2 linked regions of the Lepisosteus oculatus genome follow. The protein of the gene in region 1 interacts with the protein of each later gene in a pairwise test. Links are inferred from orthologs where the notes say so. Each region holds a gene or a part of one and is shown in the gene's direction. Other genes may lie near its edges.

Region 1 (7,368 bases):
TCTTCATTTTCTTCTTTTCCAGTACAAGTGTTTTTAAGTATGTAAGTGCTTTTCACCTGCGTTGAGATGTCTCAGTTGAGATAGCATTAAGTGTTTTTTGTGCTACAGGGTGTCACTGTTTTTATTGGAAAGTTATATCATTTTCACAACTTGTACAGCCTGACTCAGCAGATGGAGTCTGTAGTTGTTTTTCTTTATACTAGCAACTAAAGGTTTAAAATGTAACCTGTTTATAAAACAAAAAAACAAGTACAAAAACAGTACACCATGTTCCACTTTTGCTTTTGAAGGCACACCAAACAAGCAATGCCTGTAGTAGTGTATCTCAAATACATTTCATTGTATGTGAGATATACTTTATGAAGCAACTTTTCTGTCTTAAAGAATATTCGTTGAATGCAATGAAATGAGGGCTAAGATGTAACCCATTAGAAAGAACTGAATTTTAAGAATTCAAAATATAAGCTTTCACTGTAATAGTTATGATGTGTTTGTAAATCATAGGAACCATTATTCAATGTTTGCTGTCTTTAGAACATTACCTTCAGCAGAAGAATAGAATATGGAATATTCTGTACTGTATTTCAGATAATTCTATTTACAAAGTAATAGAATGCAGTGTGACCATATTAATTGTAATTTATTCCTGTGCAACTGTATAAGCCAACTGTTTATGATCCTCATAAAATAGTTAATTAATGTAGTGCTGTGTAGTATAATTAAAGTATGCTAAAAGATACACAGCAGTAAATATAACATAAACTGGTCAGCTGAAATATGTAATCAAAAGATGTAAAAGCATTTCAAATGAAAAAATAAGTACAATGTATTTGTAGTATGTATTGCTGAAAATATTGCAAAAGGTGAATCTAAAACCACCATACATAGTGACGTAGGCTACAGGACTATAGAATAGAATATGTAGAAACATTTCCTAATATTACTGTCCCACGTTTTTGGTGAACAAAATTGTTTTGTTTTTGTTCACCATAAATCATGCTGACCTTGTATTGGTGTAAATTTTTCTTAGTTTTAAATTGGTCGCCTTATGTTATTAAATGCAATATCAATATAAATGCTTCTTTTTCAGTGTTACAGATTTAAACATAAAAACTCTTATCATGTTTGGTAAATTGCATTTGACTGGACAAGACACAGTTCAGAATGTGGGTATGCAGTGCTCTAAGGTATGATATTTAAAAGATGCTTTTATCCTAGGTGGCTTACCTTACATTTTATACACTGAACTGTCACAGCTTAAGATTGAATTGTTACTATGATAACTATGGCACTAAGTGGAGTGATTATTCATCTTAATATATTGAAATACAATTTATTTCTTATTTTAAAATGTATTTTTTTTATAGAAGTTGGAAAGGAGCTTGGGGAAAGACAATGATTAGCATAATGTAAGGCAAATGGAGATGCTTTCTCAATTATTCTCAATGACATGTTTTCAAGATGATATTAAGTCCTATAATCTGCTTGGTACTGTAATCAAGTCAGCCCAATAGTGAGCAAAGACCTAGAGTGACTCATTGTTCTGTCTTTTGTAATCACTTTGCTGAACCATATTATAACCCCTCTCTTGGTATTCAGTGTCTGTTTCTGAAAATTAAGTAGTTGCTATAACTTTGACAAATTGATCTTTCGTAAATGGGGAACCAAATAATTTCGTAAATTTGGAAACATTAATAAAATTTCCAAGAATACTGCTTTCCATGCAATTGCTAGAATTCCTTTGCAAGAAAGGTACGAATTCTGGACTGATATGTTGTGCTTTTCTCCCTTAAACACTAAGGAATGATTTTATAAGTTGATTTCAAAACAGAATATGAAATTATAGCCTTCTTAGATTCCAGCTACTTGAGCAATCCTGAAACTTTGAGGTTAAAATCTTTGTAGTCTTAGCCTTCAGGGTTTCTTTTTTAATACAAAACACGACTATTATTGTTTACACAGTACTTTTAGTACAATGCTGTCTGTGTTATGATAGGACATAGTTACATAAAGTCTGTTTATTTTTTTGTCATCACTCATGACCATGAGGGACACTAAGATGGATATTTGTGATATTTTTTTCAGACGGCTAACAGTAGAACAGAAAGTATAGGGAATGGGTCTTCAAGGCTTAGAAATAGGCAGATGTATTACTGTTAAAATTTGGAGTGGAAGTTAGTTATTACTAGCATTATGCAATCTGGACACTACATTAAAACTTGCAGACTAGACCACAGTGACAGCAGTGCTAAACAGTGCTAATTAATTTTTGGGAACTTCAGCGTTTCTGGACTTTTTCAGCAAAACAGTCTTTGGGCCTTCATGTCGTCAGTGTTTAGAACAGTATTAACTGCTTAGTAGTTCTCTTCTAATAAATTATCCAGATGAAAATAAGTATTTGTTTAAATTAAATTGCCAGAACCTGATTTCTTGCAAGGTCCCTGTAACTGGCGTTACCTGATATTGACATTGGAATTTTCTTTATTTTTCATAATTGTATTTAATAGTTCAGTTTATTAATCTCTAAATGTAAATTTTAAACTTGCGAAAGAACACTTTTAAATATAACGAATGCCTGTGACAAGTGGTAAATGCTCATCCTTCCTGTTTAGAGTGGACGTTCAGGTATTCATACATTGTATTGTATGAATTTCAAACTCAAATTTTAGGATCCATTTGTAAAAGCACAGTGGTGGGGAGGCTATAATTTTATACAAATCCATTTCTAGTTACAACTTTGCAATACAAAGAAAAAAAATGGGTCTTCAGATGTCAAGCTAAAATGATAAATCCACATTTTAGTACAATGTATTCTTAAAGAACTACCTTCTACAAAATGAATAACTAATTATCCTTTTCTTTCTTGCCAGTTTTCAATGAGGACTCCAAGCACAGTGCAATTTCAGAGGACATAAGCACACTAGGGTAGCCGATTAATAACAAGGCACTAGTACTGCACAGCTCACAAAGTGCTCTCTTCCTCTTAACACAAATCCTTTGAATATTCAACCTCTCAGCTTTTTCTGTAAGATATAGACTAAACTTTGGGTAGAAAAAATATTTACAAATATAGACCAAATATAGGGGCAATATGGTATTATGTGGTTCCACTTATTGCTCCTCTAGATTGGTTGAAAGACCTTCTCTCATTTGTATACTTTTCTGCGTAAATATTGTAGAGGTAAAGTTAATGTAAGGAAGATATTGTTGGAGATGATCTAGTTGTCAACTGCAAGCATAAACAAGCCCCAATTCTTTATTTTTATCAGAACACTGCTGGGCACTCTTACACTAGTAAGTGTTTAAAATAAAAATCTGAGAATGGCCACCTGCTACCACAAATTAAAATGTTTGACAGAAGTCTTATACTCAAGGGTGAGTCAGCTGGGCAGTATGGATATTTTTGTCAGTTCTGTAATTAGTCCTAGAAAGCAGTCCTGGTCGATACAACAGTTCACATGAAACACTATCCTGATTGAAATATTTGTAGAAATTAATGTTGCAGGCTAATTACGTTTTCAGTTTTATTAGTGAGACTTTATTGTACTGGAATGCCTTACTTCTAAAATAAATACATTGTTTACTGATATAAATCCGTTTTAGATCTGTTACCTAATTTTATCTGCACATACGAGAATAGTAGACTTGCTTGTACAGTAGATCACGGGTTTGCAGTGTTGCTAAACCCATGGCACACAGTGTCCTGTTGGCACTTGCAATGCTGTTTTCCTGAGACAAATTAGGAGCATTGCTTCAGTCTCTACCCTTCTGAAGCCCATGCACACAGGGTTTTTCAGCTTTACAGTGAATGCAAAACAAATCCATGCTGTGCAGTGATTTTCAGTTTATGAATGTGGTGACATTCCAGCTAACTGGGCTTGTGACAAGATCTGTGTGATTTTTAAGAATGTTTAAAAATGAAAACAATGAAGATTTCAAAATTATTAGTTTTAATGTTGTTCTTACTGAAATTTAAGTTAATATTATATGCTTGATTTTGTAAGGTTTTTTTCTTAGGCTGGTATTTTTTTGTGCAAAAATGTATGTTACCTGGAAGTATCAGGAAGTAATGTTTTTTTGATAAGCAGCTTCTGGCACTCCTTTTCTAGAGAACATAATATTAATCTGAGTGCTGACAGGCTCTCCCCTGAGTGTTTCTGATTGGCAGAAAAAGTAGTAAGTCAGTCTGGATTGGCTTTTTGGCAGGAAGTGCTTCACAGTAGTACAGATACTGTAAAACAAGGAAGTGATAAACTTTCATTTTCTTGTTTTAAGGTGAAAAGGATAAAACACAAAATAGTTTTTATATTTAGTCATTTAAAAAGTGTAGCACTTTGATTTGTTGTCTCATTAGATTTATATTCTCTATGTAGGCATTAACAGTTAAGATGAATTATTTTGATGTTTTAAACATCTTTTACAAACTACAAGCAAAACACTGATATTATCAGCAGGCCTATGCACTAGCCTGTCCAAGATTCTGCCTTCCCAGAACTGCTTAATTATAAACTTGTTGAGCAGTGGGAGTCTGGAAGAAGATAATACCAGATTGCTAATGTTGAAAGTTTTACAAAATTTGATGTCAGGTTTAAAGCCAAAGAAGAGTTTCCAGTTAATATCTCCAAGCCAGGTAGTATACTGTTTTTATTCCTGTGGGGTGAATGCAGAAGTTGATTAAACCTGTTAATGACATTTATTTGTTTTTCTTAAAAAAGGCATATCTCAATCTTATTTTATTGTTTGCGCTTTAGATATTTTACTGTTTGCTTAATATTGCTTAATATTCAATGCTGCTGAAAGCTGACATCCTGAATTATTTGATTATTCGACATACTCGAATGATTATTTATCACTTTAGTGTAGCTGATACATTTTTAATATTAGTTTACACAACTATGATGGAGATTTTTTTATTATTGTTCTTAATTTCACTATTTAACCTTCTTTATCAACCTTTGAAGTTTCTGTGATGTTATCTGCTGTGGGAAAATATTTCAGTTGGGTAGATACAGAAATACTGCATTGCTGTAGAATACTACCTTTGTTTTCTGTTTGGAAACTTTAATTTTAATTGGGGATTGTTTTGATGTATTTAAATATATTATAAAAACATTCTTTAGTATAAGGGAGTCTGAACATTTGAAGAATACATGAAGATGCATGAATGTTTACGTCACAAATATAACTTTTTATATTACAAGATTACATTTGTAATTCAATAAATGTATAAATGATCAATATATAACCACTGGATTAATCATAGGTTTTAGAGGCTTTTTAAATGCAATTTTTCTAACTGTACTGTAAACCTCAGGTTTAATAGATGTTGGATTTAATGAACAAAATCTGCTAAAGGGGAATTTTGTCTGTAAAATCAGAAATATTGGTCTTTCCACACAATTAAGGGGAATTGCACAACTAGTAAAACAATGTATAAAGGGTTACATAAGTTTAAAATTTAGGAATATCTGTATAGGTCAGTTGCTTATGATGTGTTTGTATGCTTTAGTGAATTGTATAAAGTATATTTATGACACATGAAGTAAAGAACTTGTATATTTAAGAAAAGACACGTGAATTATTTTCATTGATTTCATTGACTGCAATCATTTTAATTGTTAAAAAATGGCAAAAGTTCAAGAAAATGTATATAAAGTATGTATTTCCCATGGTATGTTTGAGCTGAAAAATATTATTTGATAAATTAACAGACATTTTGCAATAATGGACACCCCTTCCCCTTATTAATCCAACTGGGTTTTTACTGTATAAACCTATGAATATTTTACCTGCTGTTAGTCTTTTTAAACTGAAGAAGGACTTTTTCCTTCTTTAGAGAGAAGATTGCAGCGTGGGATGTTCCAGACCTTTTCATATTTTGTGAAAATGTATATGTTCTTTACAATTATAAAATGAGGAGACTTGGAAGAAAAATTCCTTTTTCAAGTTCACTTTCTATGGTGAACCAGCTTCTCAGTGTCAGAAGCTTTGAATCAGCACGCAGTGTTATTATCTGTTGTTAAAAATACCTCTAATCCGATAATACTCTTTGATGTGTTGACAAGTTGGGCTTTTTAGAGCCTCTAACTATAGTTTTGGAAAGTTATCTTATGTCTGCTAGCTCGTGATGAATAAATCATATCGGATGTTCGATGGAACGAAGGAGACTTTTTAAAAAACAATCTGCTGAATCTTAAAGCAAAACTGAAAAGTGGCGTCAAGACTGGAAATAATAAGAAACTGTCTACCAAATAATGTTTTGGTAGACAGTTTCTTTAGAATTTGGATATCTCCTGTGAAGTAGTGCGAAACTATTCTTGAGAGTGATTCTGAAAATTTGTCTGAATTGGTTTATGCGAATGTAAAAGCTTGGTTTGAGGGAAACTGCAGTAATTCTGGCCCCCTGTCCAGCTGAGTCTGCTGTAGCCCCTTCCTTGACATAACCATTAGGTACAAGTGAACACAGGTCCAGACCGCAGTATGAACTGGACAACCAATTGGCTCCATAACAACAGAGTGTTTTGTTTTTCTTTCCACTTGCCACAGGGTAAGTTTTGGAGTTGCAGACAGAGTATTTTTGATGAGATGAAGAAGAAATTCTCTCAGGTAGATCTTTGGTGAAGCCAAAGCATGAGATGGCAGCATGGTGCACTGCTGTAAGTTGTTCAGCTCACTGCTGTCAAGTAGCATGGCATTTTTAATGTTTACCCACCTTATACTGTTGAGTGTTGGGCACAGCTGCAGTACCAATAACCTGTGGTGGTGGTACCTGTGAAGATGTTGAATAATCAACAAATTTAACTAACACTTAAAAACGCAATACAGTTTAGGAAACATTGTATGTTTTTTTTTTGCATCTCTTGCCATTACTCGGAAAGTAATCTAAGGAACATTTCTAAATCTAAAAAACACTGAGCAAAACTTCCAGTCCATATGTACAGGTTCTGTACATTGCAGGAAATAATTGCTGCAGCAGTTACAATATAACCAAAATAATAGCATACCATTAAGGATGAAACTGTGTAGTTCTGGATATCAGATAACTGGAAGAGAAATAAAAAATGTCCTAAGGTAGACACTATAAGAGAGCATTGCAGATCACAGCATGGGATGTGATTATTATGGAACGTTAGGACAGCATGGAGATTAGTATACTGTGCACATGGTTAGATAAAAAGAAAAGTCACAAAAAGCCTTTCATTTGCAATTACAATGTTTTTCAGAGATTGAAACTAATCCACAACATGGCCTAAAGAGCATTTGCCTAAGACTAACATGCATGCAAGTGTTTGAATTAAAACAAGTGCTAGCCATTCACAGATGTGCTCAAAGCAGCCTATTCCTACATTACTGTAGGCCACTAGATAC
Region 2 (7,636 bases), on another chromosome or scaffold:
GAAACCGAAAGCAGGAGAGTGGAAACCGGAGCCGAGTGCGACACAATGAAGTGAAGCGAACAAACTCTCTCAACAAGGAAAACACACGGAGCTCTTGTGTTCGCTGTACGCAGGCTTGGGAAAGAATTCTGCCGTTTAGCTTTTACAAAAACTGGATATAGCAATAGGAGGAACGCATAATGATCGTTTGCAAGGTTCAATAATGTACACAGTTTTCAGCTATTCATGCAAATGTATCCTAGAGTAAAGGAAATGATGCAAAGGAACAAGTAATAGGTTTATTCCATGCCGAAAAAAAGAAGAAAGAGAACAGAACGTTTCGGCCGAAACGTTGTGTTCTCTTTCTTCTTTTTTTCAGCATGGAATAAACCTATTACTTGTTCCTTTGCAGCCTACGCATGCTGACGCAGCTACCCACTGAAAGAAAATGATGTCCTGTTTTATGACTTTCAATAATCCCATACAGCTTCAGCCAACAACCTTGACTTGAGGTGTCCTGAATAAGAATTTAAGAATTGTCATGTAACTTATTTTCTTACTTTTCCATAAACAATGTGCACTTTGGTGAGATGTACATATTGTAAAATAATGTCCTTTTTTATTTAATATCTAATCAACTAAGAGAAGAGATCTGAGGTAATTCAGTATAGTTAAATGTTTTTTTAAATATTTTACTCATGTTTTGCTGCTCTGTACCCAGAAAAGGCTACTGTACTTCACTAACGGACTACAACCTCATTAACTGAACTGTCAATATACATGCCCTCTGGGATTTCTTTTATAAAAACAATCTTTCCATCTGGAAGAAGGGAACTCCCAAGATGACCAATTTCACAATCTCCTGTTCCATTTCGCTTCACATATGATGAAATCTAGATTCAGTAATGATTTCTCAGCTTGTGGTGTTCAGTGGTGCCGTCATTGGGTGTAAATATGTGAAAGGGACTGATCTAGTTTGTGAAAATAATGTTAATGCAAATACATTCAGATGAAATACAAGCTACTTTGTAGTTCATCTGGGTTGGGTAAACATGTACTGAGCTCACTGGACCAGAGAGGGTCCGAGACTACGTGTCCTGAGAAAAAAAAGAGAAAGATCTTATCAACAACAGTGATGTGCAAGAATAAGTGTTGTTATTCTACTACAAATAAAAGTAGGTTAAAAATGCATCAAACCTTTTGTGAAATATTTGGATACTTTTTGGGCACATCTGACTTTAAACACATTTACCCTCAGTTTCTCAGAGCATCAATATTTGTTCTTGAGGTACCCCAGTATGCTACCTCTTCTGATTAAAGGGTCCTCCTAAGTCAGTGGTACCTCCTGCAGGCCTAGGGGTCCAGAGCCCTTCGGGTCTGACAGATCTCTTTAGCTGGGAGATGCTCAATGTTACAATCAAATCAAGAATGAGTTCACACCTGTAGCTGAGAGCCGTTCCGAAATGAGTTTGCAGGCCAGGCCCACAGCTGTCCCCCAGTCTCACACCCCACACCCGAAAACAAGAGTCGCAGCTCTCTGCTCTCTATAGCAGAGTAGCCACAGCAGGCTGAGCAGGGCCCTGCATAGTAATGCAACTGAAACAGTTCAGTCGTCCTGCACAGTTCCTTTGGTCTGAGGCAGGAGTCGAGCAGATCAGCAGTTAAATTACTTTTAAACAACAAGCAGGATCCTTGAAACACAGGATGAGGCCTGTGGCCTGGATGTTGCTGGTTTGAACCCGGGACAGAACACTAGCGGAGCCTGACTGGGTTGGCCCATGATCTGACAGGGGGGCGTTTCCAACAGGTCCTCATTCATTACATTGACATCAGTACTATCAGCTCACACACAGCACAGCCTATGATAGGTGACAGGTCAGAGAGTTCCAAAGCCAGCCCCGTCCTTAAATGCTCCCAATCCCGAAATCTAAATTCCTCCAAGCCTGTCCTGGAAAGCCACTCTGCCAGCAAATCGGCATTGGTGCTGCCTCGCTAGCTCAAGGTCCAGGAGCCAGCGCCACAGAACCTTCTCCCTCACTGGGCACTGACGAGCCAGCGATCAGCAGGCCCTGAGCAGCACCCCAAACGCTGTGACCTTTCACATATGAACTCTGCCCTTTGCCTCCCCGCTGCAACTCTGAACACAGGCATGGCCATACACAAGGGTGACCAGACACCTGCTGCACCCAGACTCCGGGGTTTGCCCCAGCACCAGGTGGAGAAGCTGGTTCCCATTTCTTCACATGGGTGGAATGGCAGTAAAAACAGACATTTTGGCTCATCTGATCCATCATCACCAACTGATTCGGATCAGAAAGCCTCCTGGAACTAGATCTGTGTCTCTGTAGTCTTGCAGCCAGTACTGGAGTCCCCAGCACGAACTGCCTCTGGCATCTCCCCCTGGGATGGTTCAGATGATCTAGTGAAACAGCTCAGATCTCTGTGGGAGCTGGAAGGAAACTGAAGCACCTGGCCAACACTCAAGAACCTAAACAGAACATGCAAAGTCCACACAGACAGGCCCCAACAAACCAGAATCGAACCTGGGACACCGGAGCTGTAATCAGCAAGTTCCTGTGCCACGCCTTCAGCATCTGAAACAGACCGACCAGCTGGGCAAGGAGCTGTGCTGTAGCTATGCTGAAGGCAGGAACTGAAACTTCCTGTTCAAGATGCAAGAGTCTCTGTCTTCCTAGTCTCCGGAATAGGAAGCACAGCTGCCTGGAGCGCACACTGCACAGCCAGCGGCCCATCCTGTACAAAGCCCATCTCTCTGAACGTGCTGTCCCGCCTGGCTTCAGCAGTGCAGGGTACAAGCAGGACGGGACGGGACAGGAAGCCATCACAGGACCTACAGGCGCCCTTTCGAGAACGCTCCGCAAACTGGCGAGAAGGAAACGAAAACGGACACATCGCCCACGACCGGCATCCGTATAACGCGTAGGCCCGGCCGTCGGCACTTCCCGCAACCCAGCGGGCCCGTCCGCTGCGTCCGCCGGGGTTAAAGGTCGCCCCTCCCCCCGCGGCCATGTGCGCCTCGCGCTGAACTCTTTGTCTCCGAGTTCCATCCGGGTCGCAGCCGGGAGCCGCTGCGGAGCCCACGGCCACGACACGGAGTTCGTGCAACAGCTGTTGCTTCACTAACGTCACGTCAAGCACGGTCACCCGAACGCCTCTGGCATTTTCACAGTCCTACAGCTGAACGGGACACAGACACAGCTGCCCAGCCCTGTAGTTTAATGTAAAACACCGAGGCGGATCGGCGCTCTCCACTGCCCAGCGCCTAGGAGATGTGTCGCATCATACACTTCAAATGAGCACCCTGCAGACGAGTTATTTAAGTACCGACAGGCGCTGGGCACGCTGACAGCAGAGCTTATTCTCCATATTTTCAAACCAGCCTGATCCGTGCACGGGTGGACCGGCGCCTTATCGAGTAACGAGCCCATTACACACAAAGGCACAGAAACTCACCCTTCTCCGCCTGGTAGTCCTTAGGAGGCATAGCTGCTGGAACCCGACGCGAAGTCACGGGAACAGGCAAGAAGAAAATGGTTTAATTATACGTTGTGAAAATAGCGTGTCTTTCTCGAAGAGTCCAGCCGCGGGGCCACTCGGTACAGAACGGCTCACGGTCTCCCAAAGCCCTGCGAAAACTGGCGCCAGTCCGGCTCCCCGCTCAGCCAATCATCGCTCGGGAATCGAGTGACGTAGGCAGGGTTCGCGAGTGGCGCGAAAGCCTTGGAAGCTAGGTTGGCAGCCAATCAGAGAATCGGGAACCGCCTCTGGCGCGAAAAATGTTAAAAACAAAGCTGGAAGTGGGGGGGAAGATGGGGAAAAAAGAAGAGAAAAACGGGATAGAAATTATTATAAGAATGGAATAAATCCTTATAGCGAAAGTATATTTGTAAATTCTATTTTAAGTATTTAGGATATGATACATAGAACGGAACACAAAATGTACAGTTCATATAGATATATTTCTTCCACCCCCGTGCCATTGTACAAATATCCCAATGGACTCGTCCTTCACAGAACAGGCTTTTTGGCGCCAAACCTTTTTCCCCTTAGCCTGTAATCAGTGAATTAATGACAACTGCTGTCACAGGTGGACGAGTAGTCTGTGGACTCTCACATTGTAAATAACGCCGCTACGTGTTAATAAAGCACCCGTGTAACTAAAACAAGGCACTAAAAATTATACATTGTTGTTATATAAATAAGCCAGTTGAAAGTTAAGAGTAGTTTATTGCCATATGTACATGTACGTTGGAATTCTTAATCACGCTGATCTCTCGCGATATACACAGACAACACCACACAATGTAGACAACAGGGACAATAAATGTGTTGTGGCACTTTTGTTCTGTGTTAAACTACTCTATCAGTCGGCAGCACAGATCAATGATTTCTAAACTAAATTGAGTCTAACTGTAAAATCACACCCGAAGAAAAACAATCTTCGTGTTTTTGTGCTGTGTAACGCCTAACCGGATAACCCCCCACCACACAGCGCGCCGGATGGGAAGAGGGGAGGACGGTCAGCTGATACCTTCGAGTCCTCCCATTGGCTGAATGTATCCAATCACAGTGACGGCCGGTTAGCGATGGGCCAATGAGAAGCGGTCAGGCGTGTGTCTTACTGTGTTTTGGCAGATCGCCGGTTGTGTTCAGTTTCGGTACCCTGGCAGATTTTAGCTGTCTGCGGCACTGTGGTCACTCGAGAGTCGGCAGTTTGGAGGAGGCCTCCACAAGGTGTTAGGTATTACCGTTTGTCAGATCTTAAAATCTGTCCGGATAGATCTATATATATAGCTTTGTGTTGTTTCAGCGATGTTGATGCCATTATACCGCTATGTTTCATAACTGCAGTGTTAGAAAGCAGCGTGAAAGAAAAAGACAACATATTCAATCATTTGTAAAACCAGACTTGTTACACAGTCCTATAAATGTCTTTAGCGGTTCTAAACGCCTGCTCCGAGGACTCGCGTTGTTCTGCTATTAATTCGACGTGTGCTTGTTACAGCGGTATGATCTCCCAGGTGTTCATCTTGTCTGCCAAGGGGGATCACCTGATTTATAAAGACTGTATCCTTTTTGCGCCCTGGGCCAAACTCACTGTCAGTAACCAGGACCCCGCTCAGGGACCTGTCTGTCTCTCCCTGAATACCTCTCTCTGACCTGTCTGTCTCTCTGGGTTGTCCCTATCTCTCTGACCTGTCTGTCTCTCTGGGTCGTCTCTGTCTCGCCCTGAAGACCTCTTTCTGACCCGTCTGTCTCGCCCTGAAGACCTCTCTGACATGTCTGTCTCTCCCTGAAGACGTCTCTCTGACCTGTCTGTCTCTCTGGGTCGTGTCTGTCTCACCCTGAAGACCTCTCTCTGCACTTTCTTTACTTTGTGTTGTTTTGCTTACATTCCTGTTTGTGTCGGACAATTACTCCGCCCTGTATCTGCTTTGTGGAGCGCTCCTTTCCCCACGAGCTCGCTTGTGGAATACTGGTGTGTTCAGCAGTGTTAACTGGCTCCGTGGTCGCTTCGGTACCGCGGAGCGATGCCAGCCAAACCGCCCGCGACTGGCACTCCTTGACTGATGATGTCAGCAGTTCGCGGGGAGGCGGGGAGTGATGTCGTCGGCGTTTTCTACGAGAAGGTGACGGCGTTGCCTGGAGACCAGCCTCCCGTTGTCATGGTAGCAGTCCTCTGATTCTTATTGCTGTAATTGTCCAAGCGCGGTGCGTTTCTGCAGGTCCTCTCTGCCCACAGGGCCTAGACTGGGTGGTGGTCACGAGTGAGTGAGACTGGTATTAATCTTTCACTCGCCCGTGACCAGGCCCTTGTTCTCACGGCTCCCTTTCCCTCGGCCTCCTCTCCCGAAGTCGTTCCTCCTGTCCGTTTGTGGGCGTGGACCCGTTAGCTCATTGCCTGTGTGAGCTCAGGACACGCGTTCTCTCTCGAGCATGTGGGAGAGGTGATGAGTGTGTCCTGTCACCCGTTATCATCAGCTGAGTTTAGGGCTGGCTCCTGCTGCACACGGGCTGCTTATGCCTACGTTCTGGCAACACGATTGTTGTGGTCCCTTGTGGGTAACTAGTTAAATTTCAGTAATGATCTGCAAGCAGATTCCGGGAGTTTCTTTAATGGAGCACATTGCCTGATTAACTGATGCCTCCCTTCCAAGAGCTCCTGGTTTTTTTGAGGTTGACCTATAACACTGGAGTCCCATGGAAGAGTGATACAGGGTCTGGCTCCACCACTGGGGGGCGCTGTCTGATCTGTGTGAAGAGTGTGGCTCTGGTCCTACCCCCGACTTGACAGCAGCCTCAGGAGGCTCAGCCCCCCCAGCGATGTCACTGCTGACCCTCCTCTGAGCCACGGGGGCCCGGAGCTGTAGACTGCAGTGACTGCTGGTGTGCTTGGGGGTGCAGGACCATCAAGTAGGCGGAGCGGTGGCTCTGTGGCTAAGGATCTGGAAGGTTGCCGGTTCAAATCCCGCGGCCGGCAGAGGAATCCTACTCCATTGGGCCCCTGGGCAAGGCCCTTAACCCCAACTGCTCCAGGGGCGCCGTACAATGGCAGACCCTGCGCTCTGACCCCAAGCTTCTCTCCCTGTCTGTGTGTCTGTGTCTCCTTGGAGAAAAGCTGGGGTATGCGAAAAGAGGAATTCCTAATGCAAGAAATTGTATAGTGCTAATAAAGAAACACTATTATTATTATTATTATTATTATTATTATTATTATTATTATTATTATTATTATTATATAAGAAGAGAGACCCTGCCCCCATGTGCGTCTGTTTCTCTTCTAGAGTCACGAGGGGCTGCACTTCATTCACATCCGACAGGGGGGGCTCTACTTCGTGGCCACAACAACCGCCAACCTGTCGCCCTTCACTGTCATCGAGTTCCTGAACAGGTAATCTGTTCGTGTGTGTGTGTACAGAGACGGAGCAGTGATGGTGTGGGGGGGTGTGTGTGTGTACAGAGACGGAGCAGTGATGGTGTGTGGGGGTGTGTGTGTGTGTGTACAGAGACGGAGCAGTGATGGTGTGTGTGTGTGTGTACAGAGACGGAGCAGTGATGTGTGTGTGTGTGTGTGTGTACAGAGACGGAGCAGTGATGTGTGTGTGTGTGTGTACAGAGACGGAGCAGTGATGGTGTGTGTGTGTGTGTACAGAGACGGAGCAGTGATGGTGTGGGGTGTGTGTACAGAGACGGAGCAGTGATGGTGTGTGGGTGTGTGTACAGAGACGGAGCAGTGATGGTGTGTGTGTGTGTGTACAGAGACGGAGCAGTGATGGTGTGTGTGTGTGTACAGAGACGGAGCAGTGATGGTGTGGGGTGTGTGTGTGTGTACAGAGACGGAGCAGTGATGGTGTGGGGTGTGTGTGTGTGTACAGAGACGGAGCAGTGATGGTGTGGGGGGTGTGTGTGTGTGTACAGAGACGGAGCAGTGATGGTGTGTGGTGTGTGTGTGTGTGTACAGAGACGGAGCAGTGATGGTGTGGGGGGTGTGTGTGTGTGTACAGAGACGGAGCAGTGATGGTGTGGGGTGTGTGTGTGTGTACAGTACAGAGACGGAGCAGTGATGGTGTGGGGTGTGTGTGTGTGTACAGAAACGGAGCAGTGATGGTGTGGGGGTGTGTGTGTGTGTACAGAG

Evidence for each region.
Region 2: the proteins of usp47 (region 1) and ap4m1 interact in binary tests that used the Homo sapiens proteins (3 or more experiments, as listed by UniProt). The two-hybrid records come from large-scale screens. The link is inferred for Lepisosteus oculatus from reciprocal best matches to the Homo sapiens genes USP47 and AP4M1.

Annotation. Positions count from the first base shown.
Region 1 is NC_090716.1:8,616,338-8,623,705, forward strand, and holds the start of usp47 (ubiquitin carboxyl-terminal hydrolase 47), read left to right. Parts: upstream 1-4,367; 5' UTR 4,368-4,555; coding exon 4,556-4,630; intron 4,631-6,546; coding exon 6,547-6,606; exon of another isoform or gene 6,607-6,635; coding exon of another isoform or gene 6,636-6,656; intron 6,657-7,368. UniProt on the Homo sapiens protein: Ubiquitin-specific protease that specifically deubiquitinates monoubiquitinated DNA polymerase beta (POLB), stabilizing POLB thereby playing a role in base-excision repair (BER). Acts as a regulator of cell growth and genome integrity.
Region 2 is NC_090698.1:12,408,250-12,415,885, reverse strand, and holds the start of ap4m1 (AP-4 complex subunit mu-1), read left to right. Parts: upstream 1-4,611; 5' UTR 4,612-4,741; intron 4,742-5,005; 5' UTR 5,006-5,009; coding exon 5,010-5,067; intron 5,068-5,580; coding exon 5,581-5,669; intron 5,670-6,785; coding exon 6,786-6,892; intron 6,893-7,636. UniProt on the Homo sapiens protein: Component of the adaptor protein complex 4 (AP-4). Adaptor protein complexes are vesicle coat components involved both in vesicle formation and cargo selection. They control the vesicular transport of proteins in different trafficking pathways.